2 linked regions of the Schizosaccharomyces pombe genome follow. The gene in region 2 interacts genetically with the main gene of each other region. Each region holds a gene or a part of one and is shown on either strand. Other genes may lie near its edges.

Evidence for each region. Genes that interact genetically often act in the same process or in processes that back each other up.
Region 1: mutations in arv1 (region 2) and pof2 together harm fitness more than expected from each alone (negative genetic interaction), as found in Schizosaccharomyces pombe (one large-scale study listed by BioGRID).

The regions. Positions count from the first base shown.
Region 1 is NC_003423.3:2,615,348-2,621,914, reverse strand, and holds pof2 (F-box protein Pof2), read right to left. Parts: upstream 4,054-6,567; coding exon 2,863-4,053; exon of another isoform or gene 2,827-2,862; coding exon 2,687-2,826; exon of another isoform or gene 2,640-2,686; coding exon 2,579-2,639; 3' UTR 2,439-2,578; downstream 1-2,438. Other genes in the region: TATA-binding protein-associated factor Mot1, read left to right, coding at 1-2,211; SPOM_SPBC25B2.10 (Usp (universal stress protein) family protein), read right to left, coding at 4,471-5,394. UniProt on the Schizosaccharomyces pombe protein: Involved in substrate recognition in ubiquitin-dependent degradation.
Region 2 is NC_003424.3:1,889,104-1,896,490, reverse strand, and holds arv1 (Arv1-like family protein Arv1), read right to left. Parts: upstream 3,948-7,387; 5' UTR 3,938-3,947; coding exon 3,851-3,937; exon of another isoform or gene 3,566-3,850; coding exon 3,431-3,565; exon of another isoform or gene 3,376-3,430; coding exon 2,797-3,375; 3' UTR 2,645-2,796; downstream 1-2,644. Other genes in the region: sdh2 (succinate dehydrogenase iron-sulfur subunit protein), read right to left, coding at 200-1,027; pof15 (F-box protein), read right to left, coding at 4,840-5,571; SPOM_SPAPB1A10.13 (uncharacterized protein), read right to left, coding at 7,217-7,387. UniProt on the Schizosaccharomyces pombe protein: Mediator of sterol homeostasis involved in sterol uptake, trafficking and distribution into membranes. Also regulates the sphingolipid metabolism.

The DNA.
Region 1 (6,567 bases), on a different chromosome or scaffold from region 2:
AAATGCTTTGCTGCTATTACTGAATCAAATGCTGCGGGATCAAAGGCTCTTCATCTTCTTGTTGAGGATGTTGTTCCACTTTTAGGAGATGCTAGTAGCACAATCCACAGACAAGGAGCTATTGAGTGCATATATCATGTTGTTCAACGTCTAGGAGTCCGTATCCTTCCCTACATACTTTACTTAATTATTCCCTTGTTAGGTCGAATGAGTGATGCTGACCAGGATGTACGTGTGCTAGCTACGACTTCCTTTGCAACACTTGTTAAATTAGTACCACTTGAAGCTGGACTTCCTGATCCGCCAGACTTGCCTCAATATCTACTTGATAGTCGTGAAAAGGAGCGCAAATTTTTAGAACAAATGCTGAATCCTTCTAAGGTCGAAGCATTCTCAATTCCTGTCCCCATCTCTGCTGATTTAAGGAAATATCAACAGGAAGGTGTTAATTGGCTGGCTTTCTTAAATAAGTATGAACTTCATGGGATTTTATGTGATGATATGGGGTTGGGTAAGACTTTGCAAACTATTTGTATAGTCGCAAGTGATCATTATAACCGCCAAAAATTATTTGAAGAATCAGGAAGTCCCAAGTTTGCTCACGTTCCTTCGTTGATAGTGTGTCCATCTACATTAGCCGGCCATTGGCAGCAAGAACTTAGTACTTATGCACCATTTTTGAAAGTGTCTGCATATGTAGGACCTCCAGCGGAAAGAGCAAAAATAAGATCAAAAATGAAGAAGTCCGATGTTGTTGTCACGTCTTATGACATATGTCGGAATGATGTGGATGAATTAGTAAAAATTGACTGGAACTACTGTGTTCTTGACGAGGGTCATGTTATAAAAAATGCACGAGCTAAGCTCACAAAAGCGGTTAAAAGTTTAAGGTCCTATCATCGACTAATTCTGTCAGGAACACCTATTCAAAACAATGTGCTAGAGCTTTGGTCTCTTTTTGATTTTCTAATGCCTGGGTTTTTGGGAACTGAAAAGACATTTCAAGAACGATTTGTTCGTCCTATCGCTGCTAGTCGTGATGCAAAAAGCTCATCGAAAGAGCGGGAAAGAGGCACTTTGGCACTCGAGGCTATCCATAAGCAAGTGCTTCCGTTTATGCTTAGGCGATTAAAAGAAGATGTTTTAGCAGATTTGCCCCCAAAGATAATACAAGATTATTATTGTGATATGAGCGATCTGCAAAGAAAGCTTCTTAATGATTTTGTATCTCAGTTGAACATCAATGAAGAGCTCGAAGATGATGAAACGGAAAAAACTCAAGGTACAAGAAAGAAGAAATCCCAGAAAGCTCATATTTTCCAGGCTTTGCAATACATGCGTAAACTTTGCAATCATCCTGCTTTGATTTTGACAGAGAAGCATCCAAAACGAAATGCCATTGTTAAGCAATTAGCTAAAGAAAATAGTGGTTTACATGACTTAAAGCATGCTCCAAAATTGACTGCACTTGGTCAATTGCTTCGAGATTGTGGCTTGGGTAATTCTTCAGTAAACTCGAATGGTATTGATAGTGCATTAACGAATGCAGTTAGTGAACATCGTGTGTTGATTTTCTGCCAGCTCAAAGACATGTTAGATATGGTTGAGAAAGATCTGTTGCAAGCTACTATGCCCGATGTTACTTACATGCGCCTTGATGGGTCAGTTGAGCCAACCAAGCGTCAAGAGGCTGTTACCAAATTCAATAATGATCCTTCAATAGATGTTCTTCTGTTAACGACTCATGTTGGTGGTCTTGGTCTTAATCTTACTGGTGCTGATACCGTTATTTTTGTTGAGCATGACTGGAATCCCATGCGAGATTTGCAGGCAATGGACAGAGCTCATCGTATTGGACAAAAAAAGGTGGTGAATGTGTATCGTTTAATCACTCGAGGATGTCTTGAGGAAAAAATAATGGGCCTTCAGAGGTTTAAAATGAACGTGGCATCAACGGTTGTTAATCAGCAAAATGCTGGTCTTTCTTCAATTGGAACCGATCAGATTTTAGACCTTTTTAACACTACTGCTGATGAACAACAAACTGTACAAAATATTGACAAAGAAGAATCGGAAGATGCGGCAGGTCGCGGTCTAAGTGGTACTTCTAAAAAGGCTCTTGAAGGGCTTCCAGAAATGTGGGATGAATCCCAATATGATGAATTTAATTTGGATGGTTTCATATCTACTTTACCCAAGGATGCTTCTTGAACAGGAGTTAGTATGGAACCCCCATAAAAAAAATTAATTATTAACTAATGTGAATGGTAATGCAATATGAAAGGTGTACAATAAAATAGGTTTTCTTTTAAGAAACTATGTTTAACTTATCTTTTGTAAGAGTGAGAGGTTTTTTTGATAATATGTAATAAATCTACTTTTTTGTACTTGTAAATATATAGCTACCATCTGCTGATTAGTTCAATCAAAAAAAAAAAAAAAAAAAAAAAAAAAAAAAAAAAAAAACCTTGCGGAGTAAATAACGTTTTTTATAAAATGTTTTATTATTGAATAGTTAAGGACAAGCACGCCATCATGTCAATTGAAGCCTTAAATGAAACTGTGAAAAGTTTGATTTCTATATTCTATTACGAATAAATTCTCGAAACAAATCAATCTCGACCTTAGTGAACGCACAGCTGTATATTAGTTAGTGACTATTAAGAGGTCAAAACCACAGACTTACAATACCGGGACTTGGGACGGGTTTATTCCATCTGGAATTGGACGGGAAAAAGATCGCAATTCTGTGCATAATATAGAGTTAATTCCAGTAACGCTAAGATGCTTTAACGTTTTACAGTTATACATCAAATAACTAACCGACTAATTTGGTTAGAAAAGATAGCATATTTTACATACCTTTGCGGTTAGTCCAATGCAATAAGAAAGATGTACTCGTTCAAGGTTTCTGGAAAAAGACCCACTTAGTAAGATTACAGAAAGGTCAGTAAGGCAAATGCATTTGACCAAACCTACTCTTTGAAGATATGGCAACTTAGCAATAGCACTTACTGCTATATCACTCAAACGAAGGCAACCACCGAAGTCAATGTAAGTTATATTTTTACATGACTTTAGAAGACATTGAACACCAATATCGGTTATCTCATAGCAATGTCCCAAATGAAGAGTCGTTAAAGATTGAGAAAGCTTTGTTAAGCTTAAAAGTGACGAATCAGTCAATCCAATGCATTTGGAAAGAAATAGAGAGTTTAATTTTGAGAACTTACAAGTTATCAATTCTATGTCACTGTCTTTCAAATCTGGTAAATTGTTAAGACTTAATGCCCTCATTGCATCTAATTCACAGTTTAAGTTTAAAAAAGTGATGAAATGTGACAATTCTGTGCAACCATCCATAGATAATTCTTTCAAACCTCGATTTCTGGAGACCAACCTAGACAGCGTATCCGCATTATGAAAGCCTTCACATCCACTAATATCTAATTCAATCAGGTCTTCTTTTTCAGAAAGTATTTGTAATGAGACGTCAGTCAGCTTTCGACAATTCGGTATAATGAGCCGATTTAAGTACGGACAACGTTTTATTATCTGAACCATACCGGTATCTTCTACTAACCCACAATTCCCAATATTCAAAGCTTTTAAATTAGGGCAATTATCAGAAATATATTCAAGTATATTCGCCGGTAAAGAGAAAATATTACTGAAGTTTATAGTAACCAAGTTCAAATTCTGATACAACAGTTTACCAATAAGAGGCTCGGAAATGCGAGTACATCCAGACAAATTCAGACGAGAAATCCCTGTTGCTAATGTCATTAACATTAAATGTTTATCGGTAAGAAATTTCCTAACACGAGAGCAATTCAGCTTGCGCAAATACCTGAAATAGTACGAAACATCCTTGGAGTATTGTAAAGTATCAAAAAAGTTATTTAATTGAGCTTCGTTTTGAAATACTACTTTTTCCCATAAAGTGGGTATAATAAAATTCCTCCATGAAGTACAAACTGTCGATTTGCACCTTAGCTCATCGGCTTCCAAATATGATAATATATTAAAACAAACTTCATTAGGCACCCGCATTGGTAAAGGTAAATTTTTTTTCTATAGGGAATAAATGAAAAATATGTGAGTTGGTAATAAAGCGTAAATTCTTAAAATGATAAATGGATGTAAACAAACAATTTTCATTTCAACTAAATTACGCAGCATAACGTACGCATGTTCCAAATTATCATAGTTAAATCCAGAGACAAACAAATTAATTGACATTAAGAAATCTCAAATACACGATAGATATACTCTAAACATTAAAATTCCGCACGCTTTAGCTTAGCGAACAAAAAAAATTAAAGCTTTATTTTTTTTGCTCTTTTTTAAAATAGACAATAAAGAAATCAATGTTCAACCGTTTTGCGAATAATTTATCAAACGCATTAAATATTACATGTCATAAAGCAAGTATTAATCATAAATTGGCAAGTTAGAGAACTATTCGTATTAGCGACCGCTTTTCTCTAAAATTTCCATATAGGACTTTCTCGTTTTGTCCTTAAGGCGCTTGTTTTTTGAACGAACTCGTTTTCGATCAGGTCGAACAACAATTACGGGAATGGGGCTTTTTTGTAAACAAAATTTGGAAACGCTTCCGCTAGAAAGAAGAGACTGAAAGCTATTTAAGGCTTTGCCACGAGTACCGACAATAAGACTATCAGGTGAATAAACGTGTATAGTACGAAGGATCATATCTTGAGGTTTACCAACCACGAGTTCAACTATTATAGAAACAGCTTTATCATCATCAACTTTCTTGAGTATGCCTGCCATGATATGTTCAGCTAAAGATCTGTAAGATTGTTCATCCGATAAATCCTCCGCTAGCTTGGAAGAAGGATCAATTACTCTTAATACTACTGCTTCATCGTTGTCGGCTAAAAGTGTTTCGAATAACCAATCGACTGCAACTTCAGAATACGAATTGCCATCCATGCCACACAAAAAAGTGCGAGACGTTCTTGTCCACTTGTAAGCTTGATGTTGTGTTTTCAGAGTCAGGGAAAAATCTGTAGCCGCTTTATTATTAAACGTATCGAACGAAATCCTTTTTAGAAAATGTGGACTCGGAGGTGGTGAAACAAGACTATGGGAACGTCCATGATGATATTCCTCAAATTGTGGAGGACAGAATCCAGCCGCCCGAGCAGGTGCCACTGTTACGGAATTTTTTGCAACAGGACGAAACGTTGGCTGTTCCATTGAGCTCCTGGCACTCCGAACCGGCGTAACAGGAGCAGAATGAGATGGTTTTTTAACATCGGTAGAAATGGATAACTTCTGCTGGTCTTTAGAAGTTCGTGGCTCAGGACGAGGGAGATTACCGAATGAAACTCCCTCCTTCGAACCAGCGGGTGCAGATTCACTCATCTAAACTTCTCACTTGATTAAATTTTGGGACTTTTAAACAATCAATTTCTCTGCACAATTTTGCAGACCCTGTACATGAAACAAGGTACTATATTCAACTCTAATTCGGAGTAAATGTTAAAAAATTGAAAGTGGTGCCTTAATTAAACTTGGGAAATTCGTTTATTATTTTCAAATGATATATTAGAAAACTTCTTTTTTCAAAACAAAATGCTTTTATTTGTATAAATATTTAAAAGTTACGATATTTCCTACAACGAAGAGTGAGCTGCCGGAAGTATGTATGTGGTGGACAAATAAGTGAAGTCATGTGTAACGGCCGCGTCAACCCTCCATTCTATTGTGCTAAGCTAATGCCCAAGATCTTAAAACTAACATTATGAGGAAACCAGTGGTGCTTGTTATACTAAATTTTAAACTGAATCAACGTAATTAAATTCTAGTTACTTGATTCTTTCGGTTACCAAATATGTAAGATATTTCCCAATTTATGGTTTGTAGCAGCTGATGAATGTGTATCGGTAATTAAGCTAAAACGTGAAAAAGGTGTTAATAAACATAGCCAGGTTTTTTGTGTAAGTTGTAAGCAATTATTTCTAATTGATAGATGGCTCTTCCTATAACTGCCTTTTCTAGTATTGCTCTGGCTCTGTGCACCGTCTATAATGCCACACAGTATTACCAAATTCCAAAACAATAAAAAAAAAACAATTTTTCAGTGAAAGCATACAATAGTCATGAACGAAATTGGGGCATTGACCATTTAAACCAGTTTGCATCGGTATTATTTGTTATATTAATAAAAAATAGTTACAATTTCTTCATTTTACTACTTTCATAAAGAAATTTTAAAAAATGTTTGGAATCTTAGCTTGCTCAAATGAAGTGTATGTGTAAAATCCAAATTTGTCATGTTGTAAAAATCTGTTAATTTTAAACTTGTTGCTACTAAAAACAACGTCTATGTAGACTAATGTTTGAATTGTCAAATGCGCGTACCTCTCGCCTCTTGAATACCTGAACGAGACCTTTAATTCGAATTTTTACCTACAAAATAGAAGCAACATTGCATAACGACTAGTTTAATATCAAGCAGTGAGCACTTTAACTTTTAAACATTTGGTGATGACCAATCTAATCCTCATATGATATTCAATCAACAATAAATTTATT
Region 2 (7,387 bases):
CGGGAACAACGCAAAAGTAATGGTCAGATCGAGAAAGTAATGTAGCATAGATGACAGCTAAACACAGAGCTACGCAAGTAAAAAAAATCGTAGAAGAGAAACATAAAATAGGTTAAGTAACAACGGGGGTTCCTCTTTAACAAGAAATATTGGAATCATCAGATGCGAAAGAAAAGACAAAAAGAAGCGTAAATCTTGTTTAAGCAGTAGCCATCAAAGCCTTTACCTTGGCAATGGCAAGGCCAGGGTTCAAACCCTTGGGACAAGTACGAGCGCAATTCATAATGGTATGGCAACGATAGACAGACATAGAGTTCTGCATGACATCCAAACGTTTAGCAGTAGCTTGATCACGAGAATCGATGATCCAACGATAAGCCTGCATCAAAACTGCTGGGCCAAGATACTCTTCTGAGTTCCACCAGTAAGATGGACAAGAGGTAGAACAACAGGCACACAAAATACATTCATACAAACCGTCAAGCTTGGCACGGTCAGCGCGAGATTGGTAAAACTCCTTGTCTTTAGGGATGTTATCGTTTTGCAACCAGGGTTCAATACTCTTATATTGCTTATAAAAGTAGGTTAGGTCAGGTACGAGATCCTTTACGATGAAGCAATGAGGTAAGGGGTAAATTTTAGTAGGTTTGTTATCTTTTTTAATGTTACAGATGCAAGCCAAAGTATTACTGCCATTAATATTCATCGCACAAGACCCGCAAATACCTTCTCTGCATGAGCGACGGAACGTTAAGGTAGGATCTTGCTCATTTTTGATTTTAATAAGCGCATCCAAAACCATTGGTCCGCATTTTGTTAAGTCGACTGTATACTTTTGAAGCTTTGGCTTTACTTCTGGTTTCTCTGGGTTCCAGCGATAAATCTCGAAAGTTTTTAAATTTTCACCCTGTGACTGAGGATTAGCAGAAGTGGCAGATATGTTGGCCTCTGTAGCCATCATACGGGCATTTCTGTTAACAAAATGCTTCAAAAACGGGCTCAAAACTTGAATTCGACGGCTGAACATCTCGATATGTTTTGATTTTTAATATTGGCAGTTGGTAAGACTGGTAAAGGCGAGCGTTGTGGTTGGCTATTATAGATGGAAACAGAATCAATTTTATTGGCGGCAGAAAAATACATTAAATTTTTCACTCATATCCAAAATAAAACTTTTAAATATTTTTGTGTATTAAATTTAACAGTTTCTTCAAAAAAAAATCCCCCGTACATCTAAAACATGTATGGGGATCGCGTGTTTACTGGCCTGTCGTAGACAGCGTTAAATTATTTACGCGATAGGAAGTTGGCTAACGTATTACTCGCTTAAGTGCAGTTAGTCAAGATGGTCAAAGCGGTTTATCCAAACAAATTTAGTTAATTAATGTTTAAATACGCATACTTCGAGTTTTAATATTACTTCCGTAAAATAAATATTCAAAAAAAAAACCTATTTATTTGGTAGAACTGTATGACTTTAATCTCGTCTCTTTTCATATAAGGTGCTATTAACTGATTAATAAACCGGTAACCTAATAACCCTTGAGCCGAATTACTGCCAAATTTACAAAACAATCATGTAGATTAGAGTGAAAGGATAGACAGTATGAAAATATTAGAGTCATATTAAAAAATAAATACTTTCTGTAATTGATAATTTAATTAAAATAAAAAACAAAAGTCGAGAAATACAAGAAAATTACATGTTTGCCCTATTTTCAAATTAGGTTTTAATTTAGAGATTAGAAAAACATGGTTAATTATACGGAACTTATTTGCACAAAAACTTTTTACCGTTACAAATCTAATTCATTATACAACCCTCCGAAATCGGAAAGAATATTTTTCTGCTGCTTTTTAATAGGGCTACATCCAACTGAAGATTAGTCTGCCAACCTAATCTTCAAGTTTTCCATTCTTCACTAAAAGCTAATGTAACCTGTTATTAATTGATTTAACATACTAATTATAAAAAGCTGACATCTTAGCTACACACTAAATTATTATTATTATTATTTTTAAATTTTTTTAAAAGCACAAAATGCAGCACATGTAGCAAAACAACGCTATTTTTTTTTTTTGAATTGGGTTTAAAAAATAGTTTACTGTATTCAATCTCAACGGGTCTGATTGCATTTGCTTACAGTTCTATAAATTACTTACTTTCTAATTTTTATTTCATTTAAAACTTACTGAAATATTCATTCGCTTACTATGAGTTTATTTTACATTACGAGCTAAGACGGTGTTAGCTGACCTGGTTGCTTCTATAACTAAACAAATGTATAATGAACAAAGACTTATATACATATATTGATTAAATATTTAAAAAATATCGTAGCTGATAAAATTGTGATGGGTTCTTTAGCGACAGCAAAAGCAAACCTCTGAACTTTGTTATTAAAAAAATGCAACAAATTCCACTGGTAAGAAAAATATCTTCGAATGATCATTTGTTTAGTTATGCTCAGCAAAATAGTTTTACTTTTTTCAGTTTTTTGCCTTTTTTATTTCCTTGCAGTGTTTCCTCTATATAATTGTATCTATTACATATCTATATGCTTTGAGGGTGTAATTATTATTTTTATTTAGACCATTTCAAGTTTCATATTACAAGATTAGGAAATATGATTACTGGCTTCGGTTTCAATTGGTTCATCAAATTCATATTTTTTAAATATCAACAACTTATTAAAGAACTAATAATTGACCAGTTTCTTAAAACGGGTGATATAAAAACTTTTAATAACTGATACACTATGTCGATGCCGTATTGTTTCCCATTTCCTTTTGTCATTATACTGCAGTTTGCGCAGTTAAAGTGATTGAACGAAAGTATACACATAATAGATTTACAAAATGCTGAAACCCATCACAAGGAGTTGATGGTTGAATCTGTGAAAGTCCTGTTAAATGTAAAAAAATATAAACGACAATAGATCTCACGAGACTGGCAAAAAGAACGATTAAGCCAATTTTAAAATACCGCCGGCTTCCAGTTAATATACATAGCGCATCCACATTGCTAAACAAAACTACCCATTCTACGACGGTTGCCGCTATAGAAAGGTCGTAGTCCCAAATTACCATGAAAACGGGTAGCATTCTTGTGCTAGAAGAAAGTATTACAGCGCCAGACGCAGAAGTCCAAGATTTCCAACCCATTGTTAGGCATAATAACAGAACTACTGAAATTTGATACACAGTTGTCTCAACCAAACATATTAGCAGTAAAGTCAAGTACTGCCGGATAATTGGCTGGGAGAGAAATGCTTGGGCAGGTGTGAAGTAGGGGAAGAGGGCTGCGCGTTTTTCTAGTCGTGACCAAACTAAAAAAACGTTGAAAAGGGAAATTAATATGCAGAAATTGACAACCTTTGCGCATTTTGTCAGCTATTTAAAAAGCCATTGAAATGAATAAAATACTTACGTTACGAAATGTTCGTGCCGACAGAGAATTAAACAAAAGATGACGGTAAACTTGCGGTTTCATCAAAATTACATCCATGCTGATGAGAACAACATCTAATTCAATGTATTTGTCCGCAAACTGTTTGCAGTTTTTCTGTAACATAGTCGTTAGTTTGAAATTGTACTTAAAAAAAACTAAAGAACAAGTCGATCTTAACGATTACAGCAAGACTACGCATTCCACTCTCAGTATTCATTAAGCAAGATAAATGGAGACAAAAATTGAATGATCGTCATTTGCTTACAATAATGTAAATTATATTTGAAGAGAAAAATATTCATGAAGCTTCTTTTCGTCGCCGTTGGAATGGACTTGCCCTTAGCTCCTTACGATCAAGTTGACTACATCAACGAAACATATTGTGTGTATATTACTTACGCATTGAGCTAGTCGAATATTACTGGTACCCCTTCCATAATATGTGTATAAAGAATCGACTTCCGCGCCGCATTCGACGCATTTCATGGTGACGGGTGGTGGTGTCAATGTATTGAGGTATGTTTATGAACCAAACATTCGTATTCTTGGTTGACATGTAAAAACAATGAAGATATATAGAATTTAAAGAAAAAATGAAACAAGTAAGCTTATCTTTATTTGCATAGAAACATAAATACTAAAACTTATCCCAGAGTTCTACCAATTTTAAATTTTATTTGAACACTACCCAATTCCGTTAACAGACGAGTTGTAAAGCCAAAAAACCACCAATGTCAAACCTAAATTTTACAGTTCTTCAATAATATAAACAAATACTGCTTTCACTACATATTTAAAAGATTTGCGAAATAACCACGTCGATTCCAGCATAAAATCACTAACTCTCAAAACAATGCAGACTGACTGGAGCGAAAGAACGTAGTATAGACTTAGTCACATTTACAAGATTAAGCGTCTATTAAAAAGATTTTACAAAGGCTAAAATATTCGTAGAAATGAGAAACGTGAAAACAACATTCAATTGATTGAGCAATTTAAAAAAAGGTAGGTTTTTACTTTTCAGTACAACAAAAAAAAGTTTATTAGAAAAAAAATGTTAAGAAATAAATTTTGTACATGAAGCCAAATGCTGAATGAAATTAAAACAACGCTGAAAAAAAAAACCAGTCGACTGCGTAAAATGTATAAACGCATTTATTAAATGAGAAACCAGGATGTATTAACACAGCAAAACATACATCACAGGTAAATTAAATTTTTAATTAAAAGAATAATAAGTACAAAATGTCAAACAAAGAAGTCGTGAGCGACACAGGCTTGTCAAGCAACGAAAATAAACATTAAAAGAAAACGGAACGCAATCATGATTGTCTCATGAGAATTAAATAATAGAATATTAAACAATGCAGAATGGAAAAAGTTCTTTTTTAATGTACTCTTTTCTCGAGGCAAGATAAAAGGTACTCCGTTTGAACAATAACAGATGTAACAGAAAGATCATACTTTCCAGGAGCAGCATCAACTCTTGTAACAATTAGACCGATGACATGTTGAGTGTTTTGATCAAACCAAAGTGTTTCAGGTTGACCGGGTTTTATCGAATCAAGCCAATCCCGGCGGACACGAATAGGATCTTGAAAGCAAGAAAATATATCGGCTTGATGACGATCGCAGGAAGAACGAGACAAGGTAACGTGAATTCGAACATTGATATGGGGAGCAAGAAACTCCCCAGGGTATCGTTCAAAAGAAGCTAGATCCTCGTCGTCCTCAAAGGAGATTTGAAAAATAGAGGAGCAATTGTTAGGATCCAAGTGGAATACCGAATAACCATCATATTGTAAAGAATACAAACCGCGACGGGCAGACAAGTTGCAAATCGGTGAATCGGTATAGACATCCTTTGCAAAAACGCGAAGTGAATATTCGTCTAAGAAGGAAAGACGAGCACGAATGATCTTGTTGGCAATCAAAGTCAATGGATAACTGGCGAAGCTAGACTGGATAACGTCGTGTGCAGGTAAATACTGCATGACCGAGTCAATGACTTCTACTGGAAGCAGAGTAGAAGATGTTTGTTGAGCGTCGAAATTAACGTAGGAATTAGGTTGAAGGGCAGTCTGGGGTACAGACATGGGGGCTCTAGTAACACAGCTCATTTTTTACCAAACCAAAAAAAAAAAGGTAAGAAATAATTTAAAAAAAAAATCGGGCAATTAAGCTGAATAAATAAAGAGAATATAGCACCGATCGATGGAATGTGAATGAAATGAGATGATGGACGATTAACAAAACAAAATATTTCTATTTCGACCTATTCAAACCTCGATATGCGTTTCTATTATGAAGGAAAAAAGACAGTAAATTGTAAACAATTAAAGAATTAAAATGTCTAAACAAACAAGTAGCTCAAAAAGACGGAATTCCAAAATTAGTGAAAAAAGTAAATAAGCAAACTTCTTTTTCTAAAGCCAAGGAATGACTGTCAACGAGACTAGCAATGGGGAAACCTTGCAATTGAACGCTTTACGTCTCACAATACAAGCCTTGGTTTCTGCAGAATAGATGAAAGGAGATGCTCCTTTTTATAAACTAAAAATTTGGCCTTTTGCCTCCTCTCCCAACTGCCGATATCGTAATTAGAGTTGAAATAAAAATGTCCATTTTGAACCTTAAAGAACGAATGAACGAGCGCCAAGCAGTTATTCCATCAAACCGGATCAACTAAAAATGGCGCGAATGGATCTTGCTACTTTGAAGAGTGGAGATTGGTAAATAGTTAAGCGCAGGAAAAAGTTAGTTCATTCACTTGACCAACGAGTGCAGTATAAAGAAAAAACACTTTTCACTTTTCTTTAAACGACTTACGAAAATCATTTTTTTTTTTTTTTTTTGTTTTCAAACTTCTTGTTTTATTACCACCACCAACTTCTGCCAAATGTTCTGTACCACAAGTCCAGATCTGGATGATACAAAGACTCCTATTAAAAGCAGTTACTGCTCCACTCTACTGTTTTGACAGAAGGGGTTTTGCCTCAGGCCTCGTTACCAGGGAACTGCCGGTAAGGTCTTGGACAAAAAAAAAGCAATGCACTCATAAGGGTACTTGCGGAAAAACTCAAGTTACTGAAATCTATGGCAATGTAACAGCAACAATAACTACTCGTTATACAACAGTCCTGTAAACAAACCGCAGATGTAGTGGGCTACAGTACAACGTTAAAAAACAATGTCGAGTAGAGTTGTAAACAGCATTGCGCTAGTACTCAAGTAGGAGAAAGTAAAAGGATTATCAAGGCAATTAATTATAGGGAAAGAATGAGATGTACAATGCAACATTAGAATAACTAACTTAGAAAACAATGTACAAAACATAAAAATGAGAAGCACAAAAACATAAAACACTAGTACAACGTTAGAAGAATTGGATCCTATAGTGTCGTATAAAGGTAGAATGTTGTTCAAAAATGAATGTCGTGCGAAATAGAATAATATAGGAAGGAAGTTTTTAAGGAAAAAAAAATTAACAATAATTAAAGCAGAGCATAAATTAGGAGAATGCAGAACATACAATACAACAACAAAATAAAAATCAGCACCATCGACTTAGGAACGGTAGCCGAGTTTTGGTGCAGTCAATGTACATTTTCTACAATGTAGTATAAACGACTTTAACTATCAACGTGCGCACATTAGGGTAGAATTCTATCTAACATAAGCAAAGGCAATTCGGTTGACCCGTCCACCCATCCTTGTCTTCTAGTTCCATTAAGCAAACACATGCACGGCCGTAGACGGGTTCGCTCAATGTATAGACGTTCTGTATTCCTCCTTCCACCGTGCCAACAAAGCACGGCTGCAAGCAGGGCTGGGTTGAGAAAACCTCGTCAACTCGACGACCCGTGGAGCACCAGAAAACAAGGATTCCAAGGTAAAGGAGGGAGAAGAGTGTGTACTCGATTCTTTCGTAAACGA